Linked DNA regions of Pelodiscus sinensis. The protein of the gene in region 3 purifies or fractionates together with the protein of the main gene of each other region. This does not show direct contact. Links are inferred from orthologs where the notes say so. Each region holds a gene or a part of one and is shown on either strand. Other genes may lie near its edges. The genes, in order: SMARCA5, MYO1C and BAZ1B.

The links.
Region 1: the proteins of BAZ1B (region 3) and SMARCA5 purify together in Homo sapiens (affinity purification with western blotting; 11 studies listed by BioGRID and IntAct, with this or other methods). This does not show direct contact. The link is inferred for Pelodiscus sinensis from reciprocal best matches to the Homo sapiens genes BAZ1B and SMARCA5.
Region 2: the proteins of BAZ1B (region 3) and MYO1C purify together in Homo sapiens (affinity purification with western blotting; 3 studies listed by BioGRID, with this or other methods). This does not show direct contact. The link is inferred for Pelodiscus sinensis from reciprocal best matches to the Homo sapiens genes BAZ1B and MYO1C.

What each region holds. Positions count from the first base shown.
Region 1 is NC_134715.1:41,840,743-41,850,778, forward strand, and holds the start of SMARCA5 (SWI/SNF-related matrix-associated actin-dependent regulator of chromatin subfamily A member 5), read right to left. Parts: upstream 4,631-10,036; 5' UTR 4,361-4,630; coding exon 4,223-4,360; intron 3,812-4,222; exon of another isoform or gene 3,643-3,811; intron 1-3,642. UniProt on the Homo sapiens protein: ATPase that possesses intrinsic ATP-dependent nucleosome-remodeling activity.
Region 2 is NC_134731.1:1,248,066-1,259,101, reverse strand, and holds the start of MYO1C (unconventional myosin-Ic), read right to left. Parts: upstream 5,158-11,036; 5' UTR 5,031-5,157; coding exon 4,956-5,030; intron 1-4,955.
Region 3 is NC_134731.1:16,474,987-16,485,442, reverse strand, and holds the start of BAZ1B (tyrosine-protein kinase BAZ1B), read right to left. Parts: upstream 4,872-10,456; 5' UTR 4,271-4,871; coding exon 4,158-4,270; intron 1-4,157. UniProt on the Homo sapiens protein: Atypical tyrosine-protein kinase that plays a central role in chromatin remodeling and acts as a transcription regulator. Involved in DNA damage response by phosphorylating 'Tyr-142' of histone H2AX (H2AXY142ph).

The DNA.
Region 1 (10,036 bases), on a different chromosome or scaffold from region 3:
GGAAATAATAAAACTCTCTTCTCCCTTCTTCCAAAAAAGTATTCTGCTTCAAAATCGTGACATATGACATGACACCAGAAGAGTGCATCTTTATTAACAATTTACAAGTTTCACTGTGCTTCAGGTACTAGGAACAACTGTCATCTCTACTGGAAGCAGAAATACTACTGGTATGATCAACCCTTATACAATTGTTCTGAAGGAGTATTTTACATAGGTTCTTCAGGAGTTTAGGGAAGAGAATGAGCTATCTGGAGAAATTACCCTTCACCATCTGTTAAGAATAGATGGCCTACACTGGAAGTTATTTATCTCACCTCAGTCCCTAGTGTGCAGTGGGGAATGGACAAGTGATATTAAAACAAATCAGGCTGGAACCCACACAAAGCAAATGAAGGGAAATAAAGAACATAGACATAAAAGGAGACATAATAAATACTATGCCAAGCTAAGGCCCATCAAAAAGAGATATGAGTAAGTAAAAACAGAATTTTAGTTTGTCAGTCAAAAAAGAAAAGATCCAAAAGAAAAGAACTGGAAAAATCATTGCACTCAGGTATCAGCTCAACAACAGACCGTCCTACTCTTCTAGCCAGGATCTAACTGGAAACCCTCTCCTGCTTCATGCTTAGAGACAAGCAGAACGGCTGTGACCCCTGAATAAGAGACATACACTGCTGACAAGTTACACACATGAATCGATACACCCTAAAGTGATAGTTACACTAAGGGTGTTAACTAGCAGTTCACTGACTAATTGAGTAGTTGATGGAATTTCAGACTAGTCAGATTAAGAATTTCCATCAACTACTCAATAGGCACTTCCGCATGCAGCCCGGGGCCAGCAAGAAGTCCTGCAGACTCCGGGCTGCACAAGGTGTCAGCTTTGAAATGTACAAGAGTACCTAGCGGGGGCTCTTGTGCATTTCACAGAGGCAGCACAACATGGAGCCAGAGTCAGCTAGGGAGTCCCCAGCTGATTCCAGGTTCTACGGAAATGCTGCACTGGAGCACAGGATCAACTGGGGAGTCCCCAGCTGACCCCGGGCTCCATGTGCAGTGCCACACAGCTGAGCCAGGGATCAGCTGTGCAGCCGCTGCGCACATGGAGCCTGGTGTCATCTGGGGACTCCCCAGCTGATCCTGTGCTCCAGTGCAGCATTTCCAAGGAACCTGCGGTCAGCTGAGGAGCCTTGGCATTTCAAAACAGCAGCGCCACACAGCTGATCTTGGGCTCAGCTGTGCGGTGCTGCCGCTTTCAAGTGCCGCTTTCCACCCCCCACCTCCCTTTGCTGCCTCTATTTAACAGAGGCAGCAGGGGGGACAGGAGGGAGATCAATTAGTCTTTAATATCCCTAAGTTGTACAACTTCAAAAGACAATGGGCAACAACTGTAGACTGAATTTAACACAAGCATTTTCCACTTTAACATTTCGGTAAGATTTTGAAACTAGGCATACATAAAATAGTCAAGACACCATTGAACACTTCAACTAAATATGAACTCAAATCATTCTTGATCTTCTTTGTAAACTCATCAGCTGTTCTTTCTTCCTCTTTTGAAAAGTGTAACATTTGTTTCACTCTATGATGTTGAGCCTCATTTATAGAAGAAGGAACTGTATGAACAAAAATTCTCAAATGAAGATTTCCTAATTTCAATACCTAATTATGGTATGTCTCTCTCAATATGGAAGCTATAGTTTCTATCCAAAGAACAAAGTGTCATTGCTCTTCATACCTTCATAAGATGTATCTATATTAGCATTTTCCCTTAAACTAGGTTTCCTACTACTGGTCAGCAACATTGCCTGTCCACCAAAATTTTTATCACCATATATCCACTAATCTTAAGAACACCAACAGCTAACCTACATTAGCTTTCTCACCATTATTACTAACAGAAGAGTTAAATCTATAGTAGTAAAAACAATGAGAAATCATGTGGCACCATAAAGAATTTGTTTGGGCATAAGTCTTTGTGGGCAAAAATCCATTTAATCAAATGCAAGTAAAGGTGCAACAGGACTCCTCACTATTTTGGCAGATACAGACTAACGACTATCTCTGGAAAAACTTAAAAAACAACAAATAGTCTAGAAGCACCTTAAAGACCAACAAAACATGTAGATGGCATCATGAGCTGTCATGTGCACAAGCCACTTCTTCAGATGAATAGTTATTAAAGGTCCAGTTCCAAAATAAATGGGGGGAGGGGCAGAGAAGGAAGTGAAAAAGAGGGAAAGTAGTATTAGAGTGTACACATTACATGAAGCTGATAGGGAAGGAGGAAATTGATCTTAAGTACCCATTGTTTGGTTTTTTTAAGTCATTAGAACATGGAAGGTAGTATGCTAGCCAGGTAGTGTCTTTATTCCTAACTTTATGATGGCTATCCCTCTGAGACGTAGCAATAGTAGTTTAATAGTAGGAGATTTTAAAAAAAGCCAGTGCAGACAAGATCCTAATAGCTCTTCATACAGAAAGGAGGAAGGGGGGTTGGGTTATGGCTGGGTCTTGGCTAGTTAAGTAAGCCATCTCGGGAGGGGGGGGGGGGGGAGAGGAGGGAGGAAGGAAAGGACCAAATCTGGTAACAATAGCTAACAATCTTTCCTTCTGAATCAATGTAAAGCAATATTCCAGAGGAAGGAGGCAAAGCACTTATAAATCTTCATAAGGAAACTTTCCAATCCAGTTTAAAAGAGATACAACTACATGAAGAAATATTTTAAATAAACATTGAAAGTGGTTTGGTTTCTTCTTGAGAACTATAACTTTACAAGAGACAAAAAACATATAAAAATCCTTGTTTAATAGCTTCCAGCTTAGCTTTTATGTTTTTAAATAGGATTTATTACCCACAATGTTTTAGTTATTTGTTCATCTGAAGGAGCTACTCTAAGAAAATGGAATTTGCAAACTAGTCAGATTAAGTAGGTTGGTTGTAAAGAATGATTCAGAACATGAAATATTCATCAATAAAAAGCAGACAAACTAGTTTCCATGTATGGCTAAAGAAACAAATGCTGTTACAAAACAATCATCTCTAGGCATTAGTTCAAATCCCAGGTTCTCCTAACCCCCTGACATTTCTGAATTAGGCACCTGTTGCCAAAATAAGACATTTCAAACAACAGATGATACCACTGCTTTATAAAATGTTGCCAGATGTACTCTGTTTTTTTCATAACTTAAAGAGAAAGCACAGCTAAACATAAATCTTTGCTGGGAAGCTCACTTAGAAAGAATAGAAGAATTAATTCAACAGTTACAGCTGCACTACAAAAAGAACTTCCTGGGGGAAAAAAGGAAAAATAAATTTCTAGCTAGATACTCCTGGAATAAAACAGAACACAGAAAGGAGAGTTGGCCACATTTGGGAAACCTGTGACTATTCCAGCTTGCCTTCAAAAATCCAATTTCAGATTGTTTTCATTGTCTATCAGTCAGAGAGCAGCCGTCAATGTTTCTTTGTGTTCTTTTTCTCGTAGCAGTCTGTGGTACATCGTTCATAAAGGGGAAGGAACCTCTTGTTTGCATATATTGAGGTACACAGCGCCCACCGAAGTGACAGGCAGAGCCGTGAACAGAAAACAAACAACGGGAAGAGGGTGCGTATGTGACAAAGAGAGAAGAACCTACTTTCTGCTGAAGGGGTGGGAAGCCGACGTAACAGCTGCTACCCGCTTCCCAGCATCGCGGAGACTCCCACAGCCCCTAGACACAACGAGACGCGACTCCCGTTTCCTGACCGCCCCCAATTCATTCATGAACCAAAGAGAGAGAGACGAGGCGCACACGCTGTACAGGGGAGGCGGCTCAGCTCGGCTCCGCTCCATTCACACGCGCCGCTGAAGGCTCCTCATCCGCCCGCCCGCTCTATTGTCTCTGCCCCACGCGGCTCACGCAGCCTGCCGGCCCCAGCCCTCGTGGCACAGCACGACGGGTGGTGGCGGGCTCGGCCACCGGTTACTGCGCGGCTCTGCGGACAGACGGGGGGGGGGGGGGGAGACTCAACTCACCCCCCACCCCGGGCCCTAACGGGGGGAGTCGGACAGAGGAACCCCACGTGTGCCGAGGGAGCCGCTCGGGGCGGGACAGGAAAACCCGGAGCGGGCCTCGGAGAGCGAGGGGCCGGAGCATCGTCACCAGCTCCAGAGCGTCCCCCGCCCCCCCGGCTCACGCCCGGTCCCGGGGTTTGGGGGGGGGGGGGTCTCCTCACCTCCATGTCAGCGTCACTCGCGCCGACAGGCGGCGCCCCCGCGAGCTCGCCGCCGTTGCTGGTGGTTGCGGAGGAGGGGGCGGTGCCGGCGGGGGACAGGGTCTCATCCGGCGGCGGCTCCTGCTGCCCGGCGGACATGATCCCGGCGCGCGCGCCCCGCAGACAATGCCGGGCCGGGAGCCCGCTCCCGCCGCGCCCGTTGGGCGGGGAGAAGAAGCGACCCCTGCACGCAGCGGCGGGCGGGACGGGCTAGAGAAGGGGGGGGGGGCGCCGCTCGCAGACTCCGCGCCGAGGGGATTCCCCCCTCCCTGTCACTGCTGCCGCCCCGGCTTTCGCAGCGCGCTCCCCACCAACCAGGAACCAACCGAGCCGGCTTCCAACTCTCGCAAGAACTCCAGCAGGGAGCCAATGCGCCTGCGCAACGAACACGTCTCTGGTTGGGCTCCCACGAGGTGCGGCGAGCCGGCTACGACAGAGGGAGGCGGGGCCGCGCTCGCGCGAGGAGTTGAGCCGGGATAACCGCAGACTTATTGCGTCACTACCTTCCCATTCTCTCGCCGCTTCCCCGCGCTGGGTACAAGGAACGGCGAGGCGGAGCCTAACTGGAAACCCCGCCCCTAAGCGAGCGTCACACCTGGGAAGGTTCAGTTTGGGACACTCGCTTGCCCGCGTGCCGCCAGCCAGGCCTTGCGAGCAGCAGGCTGCAGCCGCCCGGCCCGTGTGCCGGGCGCGCCTCCTTCAGGGGACACGTTGATTTTTACATATTTAATTTTACACTCCCGCTTGCTTCGGGTGGTTGATGGTCTGAGGGCGGTTTTGCTGCCAGGCACGTGGTTAGCGACCTTACCTAGAGCAAGCCCGGGCTGCTAAAGACTAGTCCACTACCCCATAAGAATTTATTGGACAGCCTTTTGCCTAGTAGTCAGCTAGCGGTAGCAAACGGAGCGGTAGCGAAGGGGGAAGGGGGAAAGGAAGGGGTACGTCAAAGTGACAGCACTGCCCAGCTGTGCAATGGTGCCACTACACCGCTGGTCTGCAGATCAGCTGTGCAGCAGCTACCCCCTTTGAAATGCCTCTGTGCCTTTCAAAGGGGCAGGGGAGCCCAGGCTCAGCTAGGGACTACCCAACTAAATCCAGGCTCACCCAGACACTGCCCCAACACCCCGAGCAGGTTCCAGGGAAGTACTGCACAGAGCCAAGGCCAGCTGGGGAGTCCTCTGTTGACCCCAGGCCATGCTCGATCAGGCCCTTGGAATGGACTCTATTGTTTTCTTTCATAGGTACCTATGTAGCCAGGTGAATAGGGAGATGCTAACACTAGAAATAGATATATTAGGAACACAGTTGGAAAGGGAAAGAGAATTTCAATTACAGGAGAAAATGAAGAGCCATTGGATCCAGGAGCCACATACCACACCGATAAGGTTTTTAAAAGTAAAAGTAAAAGATGAAAAAATGAAGCAAGCAAAGAAGTGGAAAGGGAAGAGATTAACAAACTGGAAAAGATCTCCATAACAAAGAAATGCATGAGAGAATTAAAATTCAGTTCAAAGTAGCAATGTCAATACCAAAAGAAAACTCATATTGAGAGCAGAAGAGGCATTAAGAGACTGTTGTCACAAGTCAGGAAACAAGCCAGACACAAAAAAAAATAGGACAACACATAAACCTGCACAAAATAATTGAAAAAAACCCCTACCTTATCAATAAAGCCCTATGCAGAAACAAAATTTGTATCTACATCTGTATCCGCAAAAATGAGCGGAGGATGGATAGACACAGATATAAAGTGGATATTCACAAATTTGCAGGGTTCTAGAAAACTAAATTTTTATTTTCATCCATATCTGCAAAAACAAGCTGCGGCTACACCTGTGGATATCAAGCAGATATCCACAGATTTGCAGGCCTCTATTTATTAAGATATTTATTTTTCCAGAGAGAACTGAGCAATAACACAGCATTTGTAAATATGCAGAATGGAAAGAGTAGTTCAATTAGCTTTTCTTTGTGTGAAAATTCCCAGGCGATGCTTCCTGTTTCATTGAACACTTGTTTTTATTTTTTTTTTTAAATAAGGAAAACACATACGGTATATGCTGCTTTAAAAGATCCTATTAGGTGAATAAGAACATTATTAATGTTCAGTGTCTGTAAAACTGTTTATAAGCTATAAAAAAAAAAAGATCAAAAGTGAAAGCATAACTTGATGGCCATATCACTCTGAACACACCTGATCTTATCTGATTTGAAGAAACTGAGCACTGGTAAACCTGGTGGATATTTGGGTCAAGTAAACTTGTGTAGGTTTACTTTCACAGAATATGGTAGTCATCTCAAAGAATATTTTCTATTCTCCTCCTCCAAGTAAAAGGTGAGGCAGAAAGAACGTAGAAAAAGATAGCAATGGATGTTTATAAGACCTCCCATTTTATAAAAAGGAATCACAGTTACTGTCTTAATACTTTGTTTTTCCCTTCTTTCCAGATAATATAAATCACAAATCTTCTAATATTGTTTTTTTTCCCTAAAGTTGGTCTACAAAGTGTTCCAGTTTTTTTAACAGCTTTTAAAATCCAGTTCTTGGAGAAAAAAATGGAAATGGTATGATTGTCTATAACTGGGGAGAAATGCTGTACTCTGTAAAAGGGGGATAGTCTTTATGTGTCAATATCAGCCTCCCCTCCTCACGATATTTAAATTCCCTTAGCAAGTCCCTTTCTTAGTTTTACTTTAGCATGCTTTAGTGGAGAGCCGACACATTGTCCCTGCTTCCTTCATAAGTTTGAAAGGAAGGACCCCTTCTTTTAAGTTTTTAGATAAATCCTGGCCCCACTGAAGTAAGCACTGGTCCCAGCAAGACACTTGAGCAAACAAGCACACTGGTCCCAGCAAGACACTTGAGCAAACATGATTGGGCCTGTTTTAATACTATGCAAATCACTATCTCCATGATCCAACAATACTTATTCCATCCTCAGGAGATCAGGATTTCTACAGATCACAGTGCTGAAAAGGCACATGTATTTATTGGTATTACTGTGTCTCAGTTACACCCAGCCAGCTGAGATACTGTTTCACAATATCAACACTGCTTGAAACCCAAATTGTGACGCCATCTCTCTCTCACCCAAAACCAAAACAAAATCTGCTTATCGTATGTCCATTTCAACAATTCAGTGGAACTATGTTAAAACATAATTGACTATACATACTTAATTGTTCATATGTGCTACTAAATTTAAGTACAGTAAGCACTATACTGGATTTATTCAAGTTATAGCATAATGGTGCTTGCAAAATGTTTCATACAAAATGAATAGCATTAAGTATGTTTTTAGTGCACACCCTAAATGTAATGAACTGTAAGTTGACCATATGTAGGGCTGTTTGCGCAATACAGACTCTAAAAAAAATACCACATGTAGGATAATTCCAGCTTTAGTAAACTTGACCCTAAAAAAACCCCATATAATACCTGACAACATATCTGTGTCAAACTTCACTTCAATGCAACTTCAAGTGAAGTAAAAGAACAACATATACCTATGTAGTATCAGAATCTGGACATCAGTTTATTTTTTTTTAGAGTTCCTTGGAGAATGAGTTTCTGTAACTGATGCTGTCTCTTGCTGAACAAAAATCAAAATGAAAAAGATGCTTCTTTTTGTTTTTATTTACCACACTTCTGTGACTGAAAAGCCTCATATACCATGCATATTTATATGGGTTCAATGCAAACACATATCTTATCCTCAAAATCCTAGTTGTAGAATGAAGCCTGATTTCTCTCTGATCAGTTCTTGAGTGACATTGTTTCCTGGCTAAGACTAGAAGCCATCAGGTTCACCTAAAAAAAAAAATCATTTAACTGTGTGACATTGGGCAAGTCACTTGACCTCCGTGTGAAAGTCAATTATGGGTTGAAAATAGGGTATAAAATTGGTATTAAATTGGACTTTACTAAAAGCAGGTGTTGCATATGAAAAAAAGCTTCTAGTACCCTGCTTCTGAGCACTCATATATATGCAGGTGGACTGCTGCATCCACACAGAGCACCAATGACTTCAGGGGAACTCCAGATCTGCCTGTGCCTATAAACTTGTAGGATTGAGGCCTACATCATAGCATTTTAATCTAGTTTCCTCGGTTTTCATACCTTCACCAAGCAAAACAGTTTCCTTCTGAATCATAACCTGGGGCTAGATTTTTAAAAAGTATTTATGTCCCAAAAGGTTTAGATGGATGCCAAGTAGGATTTCCAAATTGCCTAGGCACCTAATTCCACTGACTCCAAGATTACCTAGTTATATGTAGGTTATGTTTGGGTTACATACCTGAATTTTTCATATGAGCTTTATATTTATCCACAATACAGTAATTCCTTTGTTTCTGTAAAAATGCAAATTATTGGTTCATGTACATGTTCTAACTCCTTTTTACATTAACAATTGTTTTAAATAATAATGTGATAGAGCTTTGGTGATTCTTTAACATGTTCATGAGAGTTCTGCTCTCTCTGAAGGAAAATGAAGTAAAAAAGTACCTATTTTCAAAGTCATTGCTTTTCAAATATGACAGATTTTAATTTTCAAATACAATTAATAATAATTTTTAATGATGTCCAAAGACTCAGGAAATCAGTGTGACCTCGACAGATGTGCTATGTCTACAGGAAAATATTTCACAAGCAACATAATGTACTAAGTTCATTAGAATGTGAAAGCAGGGGACTTGAAAATGTGTAGCCAAAGCTGACAGGTGAAGGTGTGACAGTGCTCATACACAGTTTCAGAGAAAGATCACAATCTGACACAAAAAATAAGAAGGCATCTGTAATGAAGAGACTGCATTGTCAGAAGAATAAATGGTAGTCAGCTAAGGGTTCTGAAAGATATTTTTAAAAAGGCACCACTTTTGTTCCCATTTCATTACATGCGGAATATTAATCACAAGTGTGAGAAGTGAAGATGCTACTGAGGATATGCAGTATAAGTGAAATTCTAGCTAGAAGACTTAAAAACGGGGTATAGAGCTTGTGTAGGCCCTCTCCACACAGGGCAAATTTTGCTCTACATAATGAACAGCACTCTTTCTGAAGTTTACCAAGTCTTTAACTATTGCCTACTTGGAGAAGCCAGGAAAGATTCCTGGAGATATAGACCAGGAATATAGTTCTACAAGACACTCTCAAGTGTAAATATAGCACAGATAATTCCCATTTTGAGCAACCACTGGCACAACATAGAAAATTGAATTGAGTTTACCAATCCTTAGCTGAAATGTGTGCATAGAAGTCTTTCAATGTTTTCCCCCAGTCAATATAGTAGAAATCAGAACCCGATCATCAATTGAAAATATTACAAATAATTTCCCCATTCAAGTAAAGAAAACATGCTTGAGTAAGTTGGATGCCAGGTTTCCTGAATTTCAGGCCAATGGATTTTTCCACGGAAAAAATCCCTCCTCCTCATAAATAAAATTCAGAGCTACTTTAAATTATATACAGTATATAGTTCATTCATGAAACAACAGGAAAAAAAAAAGAGAGGAATTAATGCATAAGAGTGTTACACATGATCAGAGGCAGTATAGCCAGCAAAGTCTCTAGCCCTACTTAGACTATACAGGCAGTCCCCGGGTTACGTACAAGATAGGGACTGTAGGTTTGTTCTTAAGTTAAATTTGTATGTAAGTCAGAACTGGTACATATTGTAGGGGAAACTCTAGCCAAACATTTCTCCAGAGCTCAGTTTTATTCTTCCACACCTCACTTCCCTCAGTCCTTTATTCTCAAGCTGAGGTGTCTGCTGA
Region 2 (11,036 bases), about 15 Mb from region 3:
ACTGGGAAATTCCCAGTATCCCACCAGACCAGTCCGCCCCGATGTTAATTGGAATAAATCAAACCAAAACCGGGTAAGAAGAGTCCTTGTTCAGGACTGAGGTGCTTGGAAGAATTACAACTAAAGAAGAAAAGTGGCATTCAAAAAGTGAAAGAATTCTGTCCATTTTATACACATACACCCCCCCCCATATAGGCATTTAAAATTATTTCAGATTAGAGTGCCAAATATCCTCCTCTACTCCAAAATCCTCATTTATCAGCTGATTTATTGAGTACTGTGGCAAAGTGAGTCTTGACAAAGAGTATATAAAAGGAAAGGGTTTCAGTTTATGAATCAATGCAGGGAAGGTATTCCATGAATCCGAGTAGCCCGAAGAAGAGCACAGAAAGTTTGGTGAGAGACAGACAGCACTGTGCTGTATCACGTCAGAGACAACATCACTGAATCCCACCCTTTGTCAAAAATAGCATTAAGCTCTGAAAGGCCTGACCTCACAATACCAAATGCTGGTAGCAGCATCAACTAGTTGAGCACATCATGCAGATTTAAACCCTTCCCTCGAACAGAAGTGGCACCTTGTTTGGAAGTCGGCGCTTTTAAAAACAGGTACACAGACATTCTCTTCTAAAAACGGTAAACAAACCATAGGTTGAAAGTTAGATAAAAATTTACCTGCCAAGACCTGAACTATTTTGTAACAGAACTATTTCTTTTGCCACTTAAAATCTTTCCAATTTAGGATCCCTAATCCTAATCTAAAGGCTTTAGCTTTAGTACTAAAGAATCTATCTATATTTCTTCCTTGGAATTAGTAGGAATTGTTTATGATGTATAATGAAGATCTGGTTCCACCCCTGAAAGACAAGTCTTAAACTAGAATTCCATGTGTTTTTAAAAACGAGTCTCTCTCAGTATTTGACACACAAAATTGCCATGCTGTAGGGTCAAATAATGACAATTTCTGTGTTTGACTCCCCAGTTTTCATCTCATCCCTTTTTGTTCATTTCAGATTTGTCCTATGAGATTCTCCTCCCGGTTGATTTTAATTGCATATCTTGAGGCTACCATTCAAGGACAGTCCACTTTACTTGCCATTTCCCCTTCTATGGAGGGATGGGGAATGAAGGGATATAAGACAAGAAGCAAGAAATAACATGCTAATAATTGTATTTGTTGTATTCATTCTACTCCCACTCCCTAATACATTATTTATATTTATATTATCCTAGCATCTAGGATCCCTACTCCTGGGACAGGACCCTATGTTCTACACATAAATCTAATTCTTGTGATTTCAGTTTGCTTTCTGAATGGCCAAAGGGAAAGACAGCTTGTGAGTGGGAATCTTTTTTGCTTTTGTTTCGTGGTAGATGGGGCTATAAATGTGTTGTCGCAAATCTTGTTTTATAAGATGAAGAGAAAGAACAATGACAAATAAATGGATTAGTAAACAGGCCGTCCTCACTGTAAATCCAGGATACATTCAAAAAAATTTGGACTTATAGGGAAACAACTTAAAGGGGGGAATTTTTTTCCCACGGTTGACTTCCATTTGTGCAAACTGGGTTTTTTTTGCACAACTTAAAAGTGGGGAATGGGAGGACTTATAATATATCGGTTCCTACAAGTGCCAACAACTTCAGTGCAGAACAGATATATACCAAGACAACTTATAGCAGGGACACCCTGGATACCTTTCTATTACTTAATGACTAAGGACATATTCCTCCTTGCACACTAAATCCCTCTTATCTTTCCACAGAATCAGAACGTTGCCCATAACATCTAACTCTGTATTCCCAAATAAGAAGAACAGATAACAATAAGAGTCCTTAATGAAGGCAGACTGACACCCCAAACAACAAAGTCTTCATGATTCTCTCAATTCCTGTTTTTTAGAAGACGACCAGATTTTCCAGGATGCTGTCAAATGCTGAATACCCTCGAAGTGTGTTCTCCATAAAACAGAAATCATGTCTTCCTTCGCCAGCCTTCAGATCATCTCCAATTAAAAGAATTTAAGGCAAACAAAATAACGTAGATTAAAAAACCATGACAACAAAACTAGGTATTTAAATTATCTGCTTTGTTTACACGTCAGACCTACCCCACTTCTACCATATTGGTGTTTTCTTTTGCAAGTCTTTTTACTTTAAATGCTTATGTATATTTTGTTATGGTGAAAGTGTTAGACAAATGTAGACACTAAGCACAGAACCAGTACAGTGCTGGTCCAAGTTGAGCCATACTTCTGCCAACAGGCCTCATCCTCATTATGGAAGGACCACCACCTCTTTCTGAGAAGCAAGTTCAGTCACCATAACCACTGACTCTTTCGCCTCACTACTGCAATTGTCAGCAAGAATGACATTGACGAATCAATTTTACATCAACCAATCAGACATCGGATTATGAGACAAGGTGTAAAGGCCCAACCTGGTCACTAGCAAGAATGAGTTAACTCTAGTTCAGCTTCACTTTCTCCATGTAAAAGTAGCAGAGGAAAGGCAAGGAGGCAGAACTGACTGCAGGCCTATGAAAAGGCTATAAGAAACTGTAGCCCTGTCACCTCTGGCAGCTGGCATCATTTGCTAAATACTTGGTCTTGCCATGAGTGCAGGGGCCTGAACTAGATGACCTCTTGAGGTCTCTTCCAGTCCTATGATTTCATGGTGCAATAGCGTAGCTAAACATTGAGAAAACCATTTTATTGCTGCTACAGTTGAGCAGTCACATTAACAAGTCTTGGTTTTGTAGAAAATAGCGTATCCGCTCACAGCATCCCCTTTACACACTTGTCGTTTTACAGTTGCCACAAATGTTGCCCCATAACAGGAGCTGTTCTCAAGTTAGCAAATTATTGTTTTATGCCATTTTAATGAATATTTTAAACTTTTAAAAAATAGCTGAACAGCTTTTCTTTTTACCCTCTCCCAAGATGCAGGTACCCATCATTCAAGGTTTGAGTCAACAGCTCCTTTGGGAGAGATCGTTTGGGTCCAACCAATGACCTGTGCTGCCACATTGGTGGTAATGCAATTTCCAGGCCAGTTAAAAGGAGGATGGGAAAGACGATCATTTGGCAACTGAGAATTTATTATAGGGGCAAGGAAGTTTTACTTAATGAACGTTTGTGCAACTTGTAATGCAGTTAAGCTCTCCAGGTTTCATATGGAAATTTTAAATTGCTTAGTAAAATGGTAGTGAAAGGCAATTGGAGTAACAGATTATGCTTGCTTCAGCATGCCATTGCTTAGCACAAAGCACTTCTGCAATCAGTATTGCACAGATATTTAATAAATGCAACACCAGCAGAAAAATTATAGATGGAATCCAGGGTTGGATAGAGTAAGATTTGACTAATACATGTAGAGAAACGGAAAGTTATTTTTGCATATTACTATATACAGACCAGCATGAAGACTAAAAGGATGATCCAGTCAGTTGTTGGGGCATTAGCCTGGGATTATAGGAGACATCAGTTCAGTTCTCTGCTCCACCAAAACCTTCATATGTGACCTTGGGCATGTCATGTAGCCTCTTTTGTGTTTCAATTCCTTTTCTGTTTTGTGGGGAGAACAGTATTTCCCTACCTCACAGGGCTGCTGAATTCTTTAATGTATTTATTCCCAGAAGCCTCCTAGATTATGGTAATGGGAGCTATATTAGCACCTAAATAGACAGGGGCATATGTACGTAACTACATTTAGGTACGAATGATTTGGCTTAAATCACTTTAGAAAGAATTCAAATAGTTTACGATCGTGTCCTGAGTAGCTCTAGGATGTACAAAAAAACAAAACCAGAAATCTGAAGGAGTGAAAAGTCGATTTCTTTTAGAAGTGAGGTTTATCACTTAAAAAGAAAGACCCTCTAACTAGTCGCACCATATTCTTAATCCAGCTAACCTGACAACGGCAACATCCTAACTGAGGGCATACTTTGACAGTAAAAAAACAAACAATGATTTGTTACTTGACCTTCAAAAACCCAGATAAAAATATGCTGGAAGAGTTTACCTTTCTGAGCTGCCCATTTTAATTTTAGGTCCTTTCCATGAAATTTACACAGATATTGGAAAACTGAATATTTTGAATACAGTCTAAACAGAACACAAATGTTCTGTTCATGTGGAAGCCTAAAAAAAAGAGAGACGATATATTTTCTAGATTTTTAAAAACAAATCCACAGTGGTGCACACAGAAGCATTTAACAATACTTGTGTGATGAGCTATAAGTAAAAACCCACCCAACACTGACTCTCCATTAGTCATGAATATACACACACAGTTCACAGTAATGAGATCAGATACCCAGCTCTCCAAGATGCTGACAAAGTTCACCTTATTTTTCTTGATACATTGCTCTGCTTTTATTTTCCACTATTAATATTTATTAAGCTTTGCATTCAGTTTCTGAAATATGAACCCATTGGCAAGATGGGCAATGAAGATCTAAGAGGGTTTTTTTCCTCCACTCAAGCTCCTCTGAAGAAGTGGGTTTTGCCCACGAAAGCTCATGATATTACTATATATATTTTTCTCAGTTTCTAAGGTGCCACCGGAGTAATCATTGTTATCTAAGAGGCTGGATAGTGTTTTAAAACTGTTTTTTCGCCCCTCAGTTACCCAAGAAGTCCTCTCCCAGATTCTGACGCACCAAGTGCTCCTGGGCTATAACACTATTCCAATTACAAATCATGCCAAGTGTGGTGTGTACACACAAATTGTTTTGAACACTTTTGCCATTTGCTTAATTCCCAGTTACTGACTCTTCTTTTCCCTGAGGTGAAGTATACTACTGCTGAGTTTAAAAATTTCTATTTAAAAGACATGTTTGCATTAGCCTTCTCACATTACATTTTCTCCTGAACTTAAACAAAGGTAACTATTTGAAATTAACTAACTTCAAAGCAAGAACTGAAAAGAGAACAATAAGAAACCGGGCTTACAGTCTTGCACGCTCCATTGTGACTGACCACACGGATGATTTCTCCTGTGGGAATGTACTCAATTTGCAGTTCCATCTTTCCAGAACTAAGCTAATTGATTTCTCTGTCCTTTAGAGAAGGTGCTGACATCAAGGACAGCAACAGTAGTCCCTGAAACCACAGACTGAGTAGGTTCTTTGGTTCAGAAGTCCTACTGTGAGCGGAAGAGCTGAATCCTTGTATTTACACTAAATGTAGGTGTGAGCTAAAACTACAATTAAGTTCAAGCACTAGTTTCCACTAAACTCTGTATTGTTACAATGTGCCAAGACAGTTCCAGGAATCGTTAATTTATGTCCTCGCTTGTTGCTGTTAACTCCAGAAGTTCCATTTCAGACCCAGAGGATTTAAGTAATGTCAGGTTGCTATGGCTGGAATTTGACAGTTTTGGACACAAAAATAATATGCAGTAGTCTTCGAAAGGTCTACCCTGAGATTTTGTGCTGGAAAAATTCACTGTGTTAGGCTGCAAGATGTTGGATTTAAAGAGATGGTGCAAAAGAAAATACCAACTTTTTCCAGTGAAATTCCAGCAAGACCTTCAAATTACTATAGAACTAAATTGTAATTACTTTCTTCCTAGTTAACCAGTTCTGACAAACATCAAACACGCCAACAGTCAATAAAGAAAAGTTACTACACAGCTGCACTTTACTCTGGATTTGGCAGATGTTTAGAAACACTGCAAATGATCCCCACCCTCAAACTCCTAAACTAATATCCTGGACAGACCTAAGAAACAATACCAAGCAATTGACAAAATGCCAGATATTTCAAAACCCGCTGTTGATAGGTAGATATATCCACTCTCAGCAGCCACATTTCAGCCCATACACTTGTTTCCAATGGAAGCTAACTCCAGATGAGGAGGCTTGCTACTGAGAACATGTGAATGGGCCATTTCCCTGATCATAAATTTTTCATTCTTTCAAGGTTGTTTCAAAGGATAGAAATTATTGGTTCCTTTTCCAGAGCTATTTCCTAGGATAAAACATCATTGCTTCATTATTGCTCCAGCTAGGAACTGTCCTGTTCCCACAATTGTAAAGCAGTATCTAATCAATCCTTACTATCTTTGGTACTTAAGAATTCATATCTTTGCATGTGAAACATTTGTTTCTCAGATCTTCAGAGGAATAATTTCAATGACATGCATAAAACTTCTGGATCTCAGTAGCAAACAAAAACGGACAAATAGAAAAGAAAGTGAAAAAGCTAGAAGAATACAGAGAATAAGGAAATACAAAAAGAAAAGAGGAGAGACTCATAAAAAGGCAAAATGACAAAGCAGAGGAGAAGGGGGTGGCCATGAATTAAAGAAGCCAAAAACAACTGTTTGCTACACTGAAATTTCCATCACTACTTGTGTGTGATTGATCTAGTCAGATGCATGCACAGTTGTAGCCATGCAGGTCCCAGGATATTAAAGAGTCAAGGTGGGTGAGGTAAGATCTTTCATTGGACCAACTTCCATTGGTGAGAGAGAAGCTTCTGAGCAGAGAGACAGAGAGAGTGTAATCAATCAAAAATAACCAGATACAGTCAATTCCTGGTCAGAGGAAGGGCTGACAAATAACATTTTCTTATTTTTTTATTCTTGTGATGTCTTTTTCTTCCTGAAATTTCCTTGTGACTTATTTTTCTTCTTCTGGCATCTCACTCTGTTTCCTTCCCCCTTTGCTTCTCTCCCCAGTTTATCTTTCCATGTCTGAGATTTCCTTTCTGACTTCAACGTTTTCCTGCTGTGGCACACAAGCAGGAGAGAGCAGCCAGGTCTCCCTAAACCAGATTTTCCTGCTTTTTCATCTGGTTTCACTATATATATTGTCCTGGCATTGAGCTGTAATAGTCCTTGCATGGGAAAAAAGGCAGGACTCTGTTTAAAAAAACCCTCCGTTTACATTCATTATAACAGAAGCATCTGGGCAAACAAACGTAGAGTTTTCTCTGTCAAACTAATAGTTAAACCTCCCTAGTCCAGCACCATTGGGACCTGACCGGTGCCAAACCAGTGAATTTGCCAGACCACGGGAAGTCACTTTTGTCCAGCAGAATTACAACACTCCCACTGCTTACTGAGCTCTGAGAAGACATTTAGGGGTGAATTTGAGCTAAACAACAGCACAGAGCACCGAAAGCCAGGACTGGTGGCCGTAAACAAACTTTATGGGATCGCAGGAAACTTGGCCACACCCACCCGGCTAAACGAAATCATGCCGGACCAAGGATGGTGCTGGACCAGAGTGTTGGACTAGAGGGGTTCAACCTGTAGCTTCCACTGTCATTAAACAACACCTGTGTTGACAGGTTTGATATCCTAAGCCTTTGGCTGGACAAAGCATAAGAACATAAGAACGGCCGTATTGGGTCAGACCAAAGGTCCATCTAGCCCAGTATCCTGTCTGCCGACAGTGGCCAGCACCAGGTGCCCCAGAGAGGGTGGACCGAAGACAATGATCAAGCGATTTGTCTCCTGCCATCCCTCTCCAGCCTCTGACAAACAGAGGCCAAGGACACCATTTTATCCCCTGACTAATAGCCTTTTATGGACCTAACCTCCATGAAATTATCTAGCTTCTCTTTAAACTCTATTACAGTCCTAGCCTTCACAGCCTCCTCTGGCAAGGAGTTCCACAGGTTGACTACACGCTGTGTGAAGAAGAACTTTCTTTTATTAGTTTTAAACCTGCTCCCCATTAATTTCATTTGGTGTCCTCTAGTTCTTCTATTTAGGGAACTAATAAATAACTTTTCTTTATCGGCCCTCTCCACACCACTCATGATTTTATAGACCTCTATCATATCCCCCTCAGTCTCCTCTTTTCTAAACTGAAAAGTCCCAGTCGCTTTAACCTCTCCTCATATGGGACCTGTTTCAAACCCCTAATCATTTTAGTTGCCCTTTTCTGAACCCTTTCCAAGGCCAAAATATCTTTTTTGAGGTGAGGAGACCACATCTGTACACAGTATTCAAGATGTGGGCGTACCATAGTTTTATACAGGGGCAGTAAGATATTCTGGGTCTTCTTTTCTATCCCTTTCCTAATAATTCCTAGCATCCTATTTGCCTTTTTGACCGCCGCTGCACACTGTGTGGAAGTTTTCAGAGAACTGTCCACGATAACTCCAAGATCTCTTTCCTGGTTTGTCGTAGCCAAATTAGCCCGCATCATACTGTACGTATAGTTGGGGTTATTTTTCCCAATGTGCATTACTTTACACTTAGCCACATGAAATTTCATTTGCCATTTTCTTGCCCAATCACTGTTGCCCAAAGCAGCCACTGAACGAGTGGGGACAACTCTCCAGTATTCTGTACTATATTCTATCTTCCATGGTTTGGACCTCTTCCTAAAATGGCAAGATCCAAGAATGTGGAGGGAGAGAGATGAACTGTATCTAAATAACTAGACTCTACTTCTTTTAAATCCTGCTGTCCACAGAACACAATAGACAGCATTCTTCTCCAAGACAGATATCTGGAGAGAATGAGAAACTGAGGAATCACAATAAAGAACATGAAGTACTTACTCTATGTTCACACTCAGAGCATGAGCTACAACCCGCTAAAAACAATGTAATCGCTCAGTGATGAGTTTGTCTGTGACCTTCACATACATTGTTCTGAAAACAATTGGCTCATTATAGTCACATTTAGGTAGAAAATCTGCCATCACCAGGGTAGAACTAAAATATTCCTGGTAGTCATGCAGTTCTGTCCCCCCCCCTCCGTCCCCCACCAAAAAAGAAACCACAAAACCACCACAGGCTAATTTCTAACTCAAGGAAAACATAATTCAAGCTTTCTTGAACTGGCCCTTCCACTGCAGCATATGAGTTAAGGACAGGTTCATCCGAGTGTCAATGCTGAATGAGCAGAGAAGGAAGTAGTGGTGCTGCACACAATAGTCCTTATCAGAGTGTATTTTTAGGGCATAAAAACACACAATACATCTCAGAAATATTTCCTGTTTACATGCAGCTGTACTACCTATGTCCAGAGATACATTGTTTATCCTTTTGTCAGCTGAGAATTAGAAATTTCCTACATGGATACTAAATGAGGATAAGCTTCCTAAAGTTCCTTGGCAAACATCCTTCCTAGTTTAATAGAAAACAAAAAAAGTACTCTGACAATGCTGAACCATGAAGAGTTGCCATCATTATAGACAGAAGTAGTAAGTGACAATTTGCATTTTAACATGCAATACATAAATTTTGTTTAAAATACGTCTAGAAGCAACAGCTTCTTTGCAGGGAGAGGACAAAACATTCTTACCTTTTAAATCAACCTCTCCAGACTACTGGACCCCTTTCAGGAGTCTGATTTGTCTTGCACATCCCGTTTCACCTCACTTAAAAGCTACTTGCTTACAAAATGAGACAGAAAAAGTGTGTCACAGCACATTGGTATTGACCAATTGCTTACTTTCTCATTTCTACCATATTATTACAACTCAATTAAAATATAAATACTCTCCTTACACTTCAGTGTATAGTATATAGAGCAGTATAAACAAATCATTGTATGACATCTTAGTTGGTACTGACTTTGCTAGTGCTTTCTATGTAGCCTGTGGTAAACTGAGCAAGTATCTAGAAGAACTGATGTATCCCCTGGAAGACCTCTATCTTGGGTTGAGGCCCATTGTCTTAAATCACAAAATTAAACAGTTTTCTTGAATTAACATTAGAATAAATTTATTTTAAAATTAATTCAACTACCTAACTGACTTAAGCATTTTTAAAAAGAACATGCCAAGCAACATAGCTGGAGTCAACATTTCAAGTGTTTAACAAGTAAGAGGGAACCATCGCAAAGCGCTTTGGGCAAGGAGCTAAGTTGCAATCCTTTGTCTGAAATTGTCTGTAAAATTGTTTGGTGTGAGTGAAGAACATGTGTGAAAGCCATCACGGATGTGCAGATCCTCAAGGCGACATGAGACTCTTGGAGATGATCACAGAACATCCATTGTGCCCAAGGCTGAACAAATTAGCAGCACAGACAAGCCTTGAAGACAGGTAGACACTCCCAAAGGTGAGAATACAATTAAGAGATAGCAATGGGAAGCCCGACTATAACTGCAGGAAAACCCCAAGATTCACACATCAAGGACTGCAGCATGACAGTGTAAAACACATAGACTCCAAAGGGATCTTACAAGTACAGGTTGAACATCTCTGGTCCGGCAATATCCGAGGCCAGTAGCCCTGAAGGCAGGAAGTAGAGCCTCGCTGGCAGCCACCAGGGCCTGGAAGCACAGCAGAGCCAAAGCCAACAGCTATGAGAGGAGCTGGTTGCGGAGGCGGGTGCCCTTCTAGTAGAGCCCTGACTTCCACAGGTCTGGCAAACTCCCTTGTGCAGGTCCCAAGTGTGCCAGACCAGGGAGGTCCAACCTGTATAAAATTGGGGTGCTTTTGCCATAGCACACTGGATTCAGTCCTGCCTCAGCTTTGGATCATGACCAACAGAACCCAGCTCTTCACTCGTGTTCAATCTAACTGATCACCAGACTGACTTGAGGAGCTATGACAGATTGGTAACTACAAGCCTGAACCAAGAACTTTGAAAATGTAATTTGATTCTTTTAACTGTTTACTCTAGAGTCCTCTGACACTAACCATTTTATAAAGAGCACCTTCCAACTCCAATAACTAACCAAAGGGTAGTCCTCATGTGATGTTAAGGAGCAGGGATATGGGGAGCCATATAAACTTCCCTGCTCAGTGTTCAGCTCCTGAAATACTTGCAAAGATGCCCACAAATAGAATGTGTCTCCTGTTCAGCAGAAATTGGATTTTGGTCCCCTACAGTCACTAGCTGCGGTCGAGAATTTGAAGAACTGAGTCTTCTAGTCTTTTATATTTTCCCCATGAATCTCTTAATGGGAAGCTGAAAACAGATTTATATAAGCAATTTCAAATTCAGAAAGAAGAGCTTAAAAACTAGTTAAGTTTTTTGATGAAGTAGGGGCATTTGTTACATTTCCACTGAAAATGAAAACTACAAAAGTTCTTTTAGTGTAAAGCAAATTTTACACA
Region 3 (10,456 bases):
GGAGGAAGGAAGGTAAGTGTCTGTGAATTGATGATATTAAAGGTAGGGAGAGTGGGATGTTTGTGAGTTAATGGTATTACAGGTGATAATTGGGGAAACTGTCTTGGTAATGGGTGAGATAGTTCAAATTCTTGTTAAGTCCTTGTTGGCAAGTGTCGAATTTTAACATGAATGACAGTTCAGAGGATTCCCTTTCAAGTGCAGATGTAAAAGACCACCAACTACAGTTTGGACTTTCACAAAGAACAAAACATTCATAGGTCATTTGCTTGATCACCAAGGCTGCATCTTCACTGCAAATTCTTCCAGCAGAAAATATGCTAATGAGGGACTCATTAGCATAAGTCACAATCTTATTAGCATATTATCTGCTGTTTCTTTTAGCACAAGGAGTTTTTGCACAAAAAGAAGCAGCGTGTTGGGGTTTTTTTTTTTTGCGGAAAACCCCCGTTTTGAGCACACAAAAAAAACCCACCATCCACACTGCTTCTTTTTGCGCAAAAACTCCTTGTGCAAAAAGAAACAGCAGAAAATATGCTAAGGAGATCATGACTTATGCTTAGAAGAGCATGAGTCCCTCATTAGCATATTTTCTGCCGGAAGAACTTACCATGAAAACAAAGCCCAACACATTAAGTTTCCAGAGCATCAGTAATGACCTTCATTAACACATTTAGAATTATGAAAAGAGCCACCCTTCATATTTCCAACTTCACATACAAGTATGAAACATGCACAAAAATAGGATATATATATATTCAGCAGATTGCAGGGTTAAAATTAATAAATTACATGAAGTATTTTGTCTCAAGAGTCTCCGAGTTATTCAATTAATAAGCCATATAACACTGACACTAAACAATTTCTCTTTTTCCTTGGCAATTCTACCTTTCAAAAACTTGCATACACCTTACATCCTCTTACTCACTAATTAATCAGCCAAGTGGATAAAAATACGATTAAAAATTGTATTTAAAACAGACATTTTGGTATTTAAATTTACCACAGGCTTTTTTTTAATTAGACTGATCTGAAATTATGACAACCAATGTACAGGTGTAAATATAACACTAAAATAATTTAAATTAAATACACATATACTAATATTTACTTTCAACAACTTAAAGTCAAATCAGTGGTGGAAGCCATTGGCTAAGCACCCGGAACCAGAGTTTTTTCCAAGTGCTAAGCCAGCTTTTGATAGTAGGAGCTAGTTCTGCAGGTGCAGAGAATATTTTCTTCACTGCAATTTATTCAATTAGTTCAATAAAAATTAAAAATCAATAGGAAGCTGAATTAGCACACTTCCCAAACAGGAATGAAAACTAAGTGTAAGAGTGAGATCTACTAGTTCTAAAAACTGAAGGGCATGCTGACAAGAAACTAAGTTTAGTTTATTAACTGCAAATATCTCCTTTGCTTAATAAATCAGTTTTGAATTTAAAACATGTTGAAAAATTTCTATGTATCCAACATATTTAATGTAATTTTTTTAAATGTAAAAAGCCTTTACGTTTTAAATATTGTTGATGTTTGTTACTTTATTTTTACACTTTTTTAAAATGCCAAATATCTGAATACATGCACATTATGCTATAGAACTGCTTAAATAAATGTGTATTTAGTATAGATTTGGTATAGCCTCCTCGCAAAACGGAAGGAGGAAATTTAGTGCAAAGACCATATTTAATTGCAAATCAATGTTTGCATAGTAATCAACTAAAAGCAACTTTTCTTTAGGAAAACAAGTACAAATGCAAAACAATTAAAATGTAGTGGTTTAAATCAAGGTCTACTACTTGCTGATTTAAAAAAATTATTAAAATCAGTGATATAAAAATCAATATTGAAATTGTAATCTTCATTAAAGCCTCCAAGCTCTATTCTTATGGCTTTTGAGCTCCTTTCAAGGTCATATACCATAACATCTACATGTTTTGTTAGTCTATAAAGTGCTACCAGACCATTTGTTGTTTTTTAAGTTTATCCTGTACAGACTAACTCAGCTACCCCCTGCAGCTTCTGAACATCTAAGATTAGCCACATGAACTGTAGATTAGTCAGTTTTAAATTATTTTAAATTAATGCTTTGAGTTAAGTAAGACTCTATAACATCATTTCATTATACTCAGTGTATTAGTAATACTTGTCTCAATCTCAGACTTATACTTCCCTCTCAAAGACTACAGAATCCTTCCTCTCCGTATAACATGGCTGCAATTCACAGCAAAGTAATAGAAACTTTCTAATGCAAGTTCTAGAGCCCCTTTGTCTCACATGCTGCCAAAAATCTCTCAAGTGCACTCTAGATCTTTATACATTTCCTCCACAATTTAAGTTCTCCTTGCAGTTTCCAGCCCATTGTTGTACAGAGGAAAGATCAGTCTCCAGGGACAGTAGTATATAGTTAAAGCCTATTTAAAAATAAAAAATACACCTGTCTACATAGATATGCAAGTCCTCCACACAGAGCTGCTGGTTCATCTCCTATGATGGAGATTTCATGTGCCTACCACTCACTTCCCACTCTTCCTCCCTCCAAGAAGTGGTGAAGAATGATTATTACACTTTGAACTTGTATCCTATTTTTTATACAGAAGGATCCCAGAAGGCTTGAAACTGTACAGAGAAAGAATCCACTGCAGACAAGCAACATGTTGTATGTTTCTCAATTTCTCCCACAACAGCTGTACTTTCCACAACACCACTTATGCAAGAAACACATTTTCTAACTAAGTCTGTCCTTTAAGTCCCTCCCCAAGACCCATTTCTGCTCCAATTATTAGAGTAAAATGAAGCCTACTGACAACTATTACATAGGGCCAGTTGAGGCTTCTGTTTTTAATCTCATTAATACTTATACTATGACACCCAAATCCTAATATCTGCATACAGACCCAGCCTTATGTGTTCTTATTGTCTGCCCCATTCTCTTGCTATACTCTATTTTGCCATGTCTTACCTTAGGATATAGATGTCAAGCAGGGACCAACCTTCTACTCTAGCTCTGATCCCACACTTCAGCCAGGCCTATACGGATACAACAACTTTGCTTAAGGTGTGAAAAATCCACACCACCTAAGCAACATAGTTATACCAACCTAACTCCTGGGGCAGATGTTATGTCAGTGGAAGAGCTTCCCCTGTCAACATAGCTACTGGTGCTCATGGAGGCAGATTAACTATGCTAATGGAAGAATCTCTCCCATCAGTTTAGGAGCATTTTTATTTAAAGCACCAATGTAGCATTTTAAGTGTAGATCGCCCCTTATGTGCAAGGAGAACAAATAGTCAAGGATTAAAATGGGTTAAGTCTAATGGTTGTCTGTGCTCATGAAGAGTTGTAATTGCAATTTCCCACAATGCAGGTTATCACTGACACAGCTATTCACAAACATAACATGCAACATCTTAGGGCCTAAGCTTGGGCAAGACTAGTCTTCTTAACCATTTCAAATGTTTATGCAGCAAGCATATATGCTAGATATTCTTTTTAAAATCTTATCCTTTGTCAAATAAACCCTTACACTGGGATTTTCTCCTCCCCCCTCCCCCCCCATCCTTTCATTTTACAAAGTTAAGAATCATAAAATACATATCTAATTTTACAAAAATATCCTGGGACACAAATAGCTTCTCTCAATCCTCTGCATTTCAGACTAACCGTAAGAACCTGAAACAGTCCGTTATCTGATCAGTTTTTGGAGCCTGAAGCCCTGTTTCCTGACACACCATTGCACAGCCTATGGACTATGGCAAGTGACATTACAAAGCGCGCACACACACGTGTTGGGAGTAGCCGTCTCCTGGAAAGCAGCACGGGAACCTGAACGGGACTAGAACAAACAGAAATTGGGTCGGTGCGAGGCTGGACCGAAGGGCGACGCAGCCAGGCGGCATGAACCTGCGATGCGATCAATTCCGGAGGCAGAGCCCCCCCTCCCGAGCCCCGAGCCAGCGCTGCTCTCGCCGCCCGATGTGCCAAACGCGCGGGCTCCACGGACAGGGCCAGCGCCGGGTCTCGGAGCCGCTGCACCGGCGCAGCGAGCCCAGGGGCAGGGGCGGGCGCTACAGCAGCTCAGGGGCGCGGAGACACGCGGACGCGGCTAGCACTCGGGGCAGCCGACACCCCCTCGGGCCCGCGGGCCGGCGGATACTCGCGGGTGCGGAAGGCCTCCTGCGTGTGAGGAACGATGAACCTCTCGCCCGCCTCCCCAGGCGGCAGCGGCTTAGCCAGCGGGAAGGGCTTGCGGCCCAGTAGCGGCGCCATGACGGGGAGCGGAGCGGCCCCGGCCGGGCCTGGAAACTCCCCACAACGGCCCCGGCGGCGGTGGGACCCGGGCGGGAGGATTGAAAAATGGCGGGAGATTCCCCTCCCCCTCTGCCGAGCGGGCGGCCGGCAGAAGCGCTGAGCGCGCACCCTAACCTGTTAGTACCGCCAGGCCGGCCCTTCCCGCCTACGGCATAGTTGGATTGGTCGCGGTCTAAGTCGGGGCACCCTAGTGGATACATGGCACGCCTGTCTAGTCATCTAGCTCCACCCACCTGACGGACAAGTTAGGCTGCAGAGCGCGCAGGGTGAAAGGTCACCTTATGTAAGCGGAGGGGAGCGCGACTCCATTTTGTGGCCCCCGTTATTTGCCCCGCCTTGTTCTCGCACTAGCCAATGGGAGCACGCCCCCTCTAAATCATCCGGGTATTACGGAGAGGCCGCGCGCCCGGCTTTGTCTCCTCGAATGATGCCCGCATTCCCCCCCCTCTTAAAAGGGTAGCGCCGGCCTGGCGGCTGAAATGGGCCCCACCTCGGACCCGGGCCAGCCTGTCCCTCGCCAGTCCCCTGCGCCCCGCTGGCTCATGGTTTCCAAGCAGCAGCCGGAGGATTCGGGAGACTCGTGTCTCGCCGGGGGCTGCAGAGAGCTTCTGCCCCCTCCAGCTCGCGCCTCTGCCATGATCTGGTTCAGGCTGCGTCTACACCTACAGTGACAAGGGGAGGGAGTTCTCGTGTCCGCAGGATTGAACCATCTCCAGCGAGCGACGGGAGCTCTGCTGACTGGAAACCCATCGTAGGCTGACAGATGTGCGCACACTAGTGCTTTTGTCTGAAACTCATGGAACCGTGGGGCTGGTTTTCACACTTCTGACCAACAAAAGTATTACTGTGTACATAGCCTTACTTGGAAGGCAAAGGACAATGTTTTCTCCACTTGCACAGGCACATAAACCATTCCGTTGTTTCAAATGATGACTGGATTAATGCTTGTCTCCTATCTCAGAAACAGAGTCTACGTCTAGACTGGCTTGATTTTCCACAAATACTTTTAACGGAAAAGTTTTTCGTTAAAAGCATTTGCGGAAAAGAGCGTCTAGATTGGCACGGACGCTTTTCCATGGGCGGGCCTGCGCATGCACCCTGCGCCCGGGGGTGGCACCGCACACCAGGGCCCAGGGCACCAAAAGGGTTCGGGCCAGCCCTGTGCACAAGAACTCTTTTGCATAAAAGTTCTTGTGCAAAAACTCTTCCAGAAGGGAGCGTCTACACTGGCATGTGCCTTTGCGCAAGAGCATCCGTGCCAGTGTGGACGCTCTCTTGCACAAGAAAGCTCTGATGGCCATTTTAACAATAGGGCTTTTTTGCGCAAGAAATTCATGTTACCTGTCTACACTGGCCTCTTGCGCAAGAACAGTTGTGCAAAAGGGCTTATTCCTGAGCGGGAGCGTCAGAGTTCTTGCGCAAGAAGCCCTGATTTCATACATTAGAATGTCAGTGTTCTTGCGCAAGAACTCGCAGTCAGTGTAGTCAGGGAGCAAGTTTTGGCGCAAAAGCAGCTGCTTTTGCACAAGATCACACCAATGTAGACCCAGCCTGGGAGTGTGGGAAAGCAAGTGATTTGCAGTGGGAAGGAGGGTGCAGGGAAGCAGCAAAGGGCTCAGCTGGGCTGCAGGGGAGAGAGGCACCAGGAACCCGGGTGCGGGGCTCAGCTGGGCTGTGAAGGGAGGTGCTGGGAACTGGTGCAGGGCTCAGCTGGGCTGTGGGAGTGGGGAGGGTGTCAGGCACCCAGGCACGGGGCTCAGCTGGGCTGCAGGGGATGTGGGAAGGTGCAGGGAACAGATGAGCAGCTCAGCTTCACTGTGAGAGGATGGCACAGGGAACCAGTGCAGGGCTCAGCTAGGCTGTGAGGACGGGGGGAGGCACTCAACTGGGCTGCAGGGTGGGGCAGAGGGAACTGGTGCGGGGTTCAACTCGGCTGTGCGAGGGGGTACAGGGAACCAATGCAGGGCTCAGCTGGGCTGTGGGGAGGTGGTGCCAGGAAGTTCAATGCGGGAGCAGCAGCAGCAGAGGTCCTGAAATGACCTGCCCTGGTCCGGAAAAATCCCTCTTCTGGGACCAGTCAGGTTCCAAAGGTGCTGGACCATGGAGATCCGATCCCTACCCCCCAGTCTACTCCTGCACCCTTGCTTATGGCCAGACACCCTGCCCCCTGTCCAGTCCTGCATCCCCCTCCTTGGCCAGACACCTATCATCACCCTGCTCCTGCATCTACCTTTGCTCCTGCACCCTCCCTCCTGACCACACACTGCACCCTCCCTTGCTACTGCTCCCTCCTTCTGGTCAGACACCCTACTCCAACCCTGCATCTGCACCTTACCTCCCACCCAGACCTTGCAACCTTTTCCCCTTCTGTGCTCCACTTCGCTCCCAGATCCTGCACCCCATTCCTATCCCACTCACTGGCAGCCTTGTACCACACACTGTACCCCTCATTTTTGTCCTCACCTCAGAACTTAAAGGGAGTCCATAAAATTCAACAAAAAAGCAAATGGGGCCGTTAGGAAGCACTAAACCTCAGTCCTCCCTGCCTCTTCCCCTCACCCCATGGAGAGCCAGAGCAGTGAGGTGTCTGAGTTGGGAGCCACCTCAGTGAGGGTTGGGGGTTTGGGGAGGAATTTTTTTGTTTCTCACTTGTGTGGTCACTAACTGATTTTTCTCTGTGCCAGTGGTCCCCGGCCCAAAAACGTCTCCCCAGCCCTGCCATAAATAAAGAAAACATTGAAACCCTTTTGGCTACGTCTACACTGGCCCCTCTTCCGGAAGGGGCATGTAAATTTCACTAGTCGTCGTAGGGAAATCCGCGGGGGATTTAAATATCCCCCGCGGCATTTAAATAAAAATGTCCGCCGCTTTTTTCCGGCTTTTAAAAAAGCCGGAAAAGAGCGTCTAGACTGGCCCCGATCCTCCGGAAAAAGTGCCCTTTTCCGGAGGCTCTTATTCTTACTTCAAAGTAAGAATAAGAGCCTCCGGAAAAGGGCACTTTTTCCGGAGGATCGGGGCCAGTCTAGACGCTCTTTTCCGGCTTTTTTAAAAGCCGGAAAAAAGCGGCGGACATTTTTATTTAAATGCCGCGGGGGATATTTAAATCCCCCGCGGATTTCCCTACGACGACTAGTGAAATTTACATGCCCCTTCCGGAAGAGGGGCCAGTGTAGACGTAGCCTTTGTGTTGAACACAAATGAATATTTTACTTTATTTAAAATGAAGTCTGATAAACTAATATGAGAAAGTTAAAACTCTTAATCTGTTTAATCATTTAAATTAAACCATTCTCCCTAGCGGCAACACTAGCAAAATGGCTCAGGCATAATTATGTAATTAACGGTGAGATTCCATAAGAACATAAGAACGGCCGTACTGGGTCAGACCTAAGGTCCATCTAGCCCAGTATCCTGTCTGCCGACAGTGGCCAGCACCAGGTGCCCCAGAGAAGGTGGACCGAAGACAATGATCAAGCTGTTTGTCTCCTGCCATCCTTAGGCCAGGGACACCGTTTCTATCCCCTGGCTAATAACCTTTTATGGACCTAACCTCCATGAAATTATCTAGCGTCTCTTTAAACTCTGTTATAGTCCTACCCTTCACAGCTAGGAGTTCCACAGGTTGACTACATGCTGTGTGAAGAAGAACTTTCTTTTATTAGTTTTAAACCTGCTGCCCATTAATTTTATTTGGTGTGCTCCGATTCTTCTATTATGGGAACTAATAAATAACTTTTCTTTATCTGCCCTCTCCACACCACTCATGATTTTATAGACCTCTATCATATCCCCCCTCAGTCTCCTCTTTTCTATACTGAAAAGTCCCAGTGGTTTCACCTCTCCTCATATGGGACCTATTCCAAACCTCTAATCATTTTAGCTGCTCTTTTCTGAACCCTTTCCAGGCCAAAATATCTTTTTTGAGGTGAGGGGACCACATCTGTACACAGTATTCAAGATGTGGGCGTACCATAGTTTTATACAGGGGCAGTAAGATATTCTGGGTCTTATTTTCTATCCCTTTCTTAATCATTCCTAGCATCCTATTTGCCTTTTTGACCGCCGCTGCACACTGTGTAGAAGCTTTCAGAGAACTATCCATGATAATTCCAACATCTCTTTCCTGATCTGTCATAGCCAAATTAGCCCCCATCATACTGTACATATAGTTGGGGTTATTTTTCCCGATGTGCATTACTTTACACTTATCCACATTAGATTTCATTTGCCATTTTGTTGCCCAATCACTCAGTTTGGTGAGATCTTTTTGGAGTCCCTCACAGTCTGCTTCTGTCTTGACTATCCTAAACAGTTTGGTATCATCTGCAAACTTTACCACCTCACTGCTTACCCCTTTCTCCAGATCATTTATGAATAAGTTGAAAAGGATTGGTCCCAGGACTGACCCTTGGGGTACACCACTAGTTACCCCTCTCCAATCTGAAAATTTACCATTTAGTCCTACCCTTTGTTTCCTGTCTTTTAACCATAGTTCTCAATCCAAGAAAGGACCTTCCCTCTTATCCCATGGCCATGTAATTTACACAAGAGCCTTTGGTGAGGGACCTTGTCAAAGGCTTTCTGAAAATCTAAGTATACTATATCTACTGGATCCCTCCTGTCTGCATGTTTGTTAACCCCTTCACAAAACTCTACTAGATTAGTAAGACATGATTTCCCTTTACAGAAACCATGTTAACTTTTGTCCAACAAATTATGTTCTTCTACATGCCTCACAATTTTATTCTTTATTATTGTTTCGATTACTTTGCCTGGTACTGAAGTTAGACTTACCGGTCTGTAATTACCAGGATCGCCTCTAGAGCCCTTTTTAAATATTAGTGTCACATTGTCTACCTTCCAGTCATTAGGTACGGAAGCCGATTTAAAGGATAGGTGACAAACCACAGATAATAGTTCAGCAATTTCCAATTTGAGTTCTTTTAGAACCGTTGGATGAATGCCATCCGGTCCTGGAGATTTGTTAACATTAAGTTTTCCTATTAGTTCCAAAACCTCCTCTAATGGCACTTCAATCCAGGTCAGTTCCTCAGATTCATCACCCACAAAGGACGGTGCAGATTTGGGAATCTCCCTAATGTCCTCAGCCCTGAAGACTGAAGCAAAGAAATTATTTAGTTTATCTGCAATGGCTTTATCGTCCTTGATTGCTCCTTTTATATCTCGATCTTTATGGGGACCCGCAGGTTTTTTAGCAGGCTTCCTGCTTCTAATGTACTTAAAAACATTTTGTTATTTCTTTTTCAGTTTTTGGCTAGCTGTTCCTCAAAATCTTTTTTTGCTTTTCTTATTACATTTTTACACTTGATTTGACAGTGTTTATGTTCCTTTCTATTTATCTCACTAGGATTGGACTTCCACTTCTTAAAAGGTGCCTTTTTGTCCCTCACTGGTTCTTTTACATGGTGGTTAAGCCATGGTGACTCTTTTTTAGGTCTCTTGCTATGTTTTTTAATTTGGGGTATACACTTAAGTTGGGCCTCTATTATGGTGTCTTTAAAAAGTTTCCATGCAGCTTGCAGGGATCTGGCTCTAGTCACTGTGCCTTTTAATTTCCGTTTAACTAACCTCATCATTTTTGTGTAATTCCCCTTTTTGAAATTAAATGCCAGAGTGCTGGACTGCTGAGGTGTTCTTCCCACCACAGGAATGCTAAATGTTGTTATATTATGGTCACTGTTCCCAAGCGATGCTGTAACGGTTATCTCCTGGACTTGATCCTGTGCTCCACTCAGGACTAAATCAAGAATTGCCCCTTCCCTTGTGGGTTCCTGTACCAGCTGCTCCAAGAAGCAGTCATTGAAGCCATTGAGAAATTTTATCTCTGCTTCTCTTCCGGAGGTGACATGTATCCAGTCAATATGGGGATAATTAAAATCTCCCATTATTATAGAGTTCTCCATTAGCAACTGGTGGTCCATGGAAAGGTTTACACTTAGCCAAATGGTCCACGGACCAAAAAGTCCATAAGAACCACTGGCTTCTCCCACCAAGAGACCCCCACAGGCTCCTTGCTGCTACACAAGAGCCTACAGAGAGATCAGGTCTGTTACCATAGCAGTGAAATCACTGTCACTGTGGTGTGGTTGATGGACAGACTCTTTGTGAGTCTTCCTCATCCAA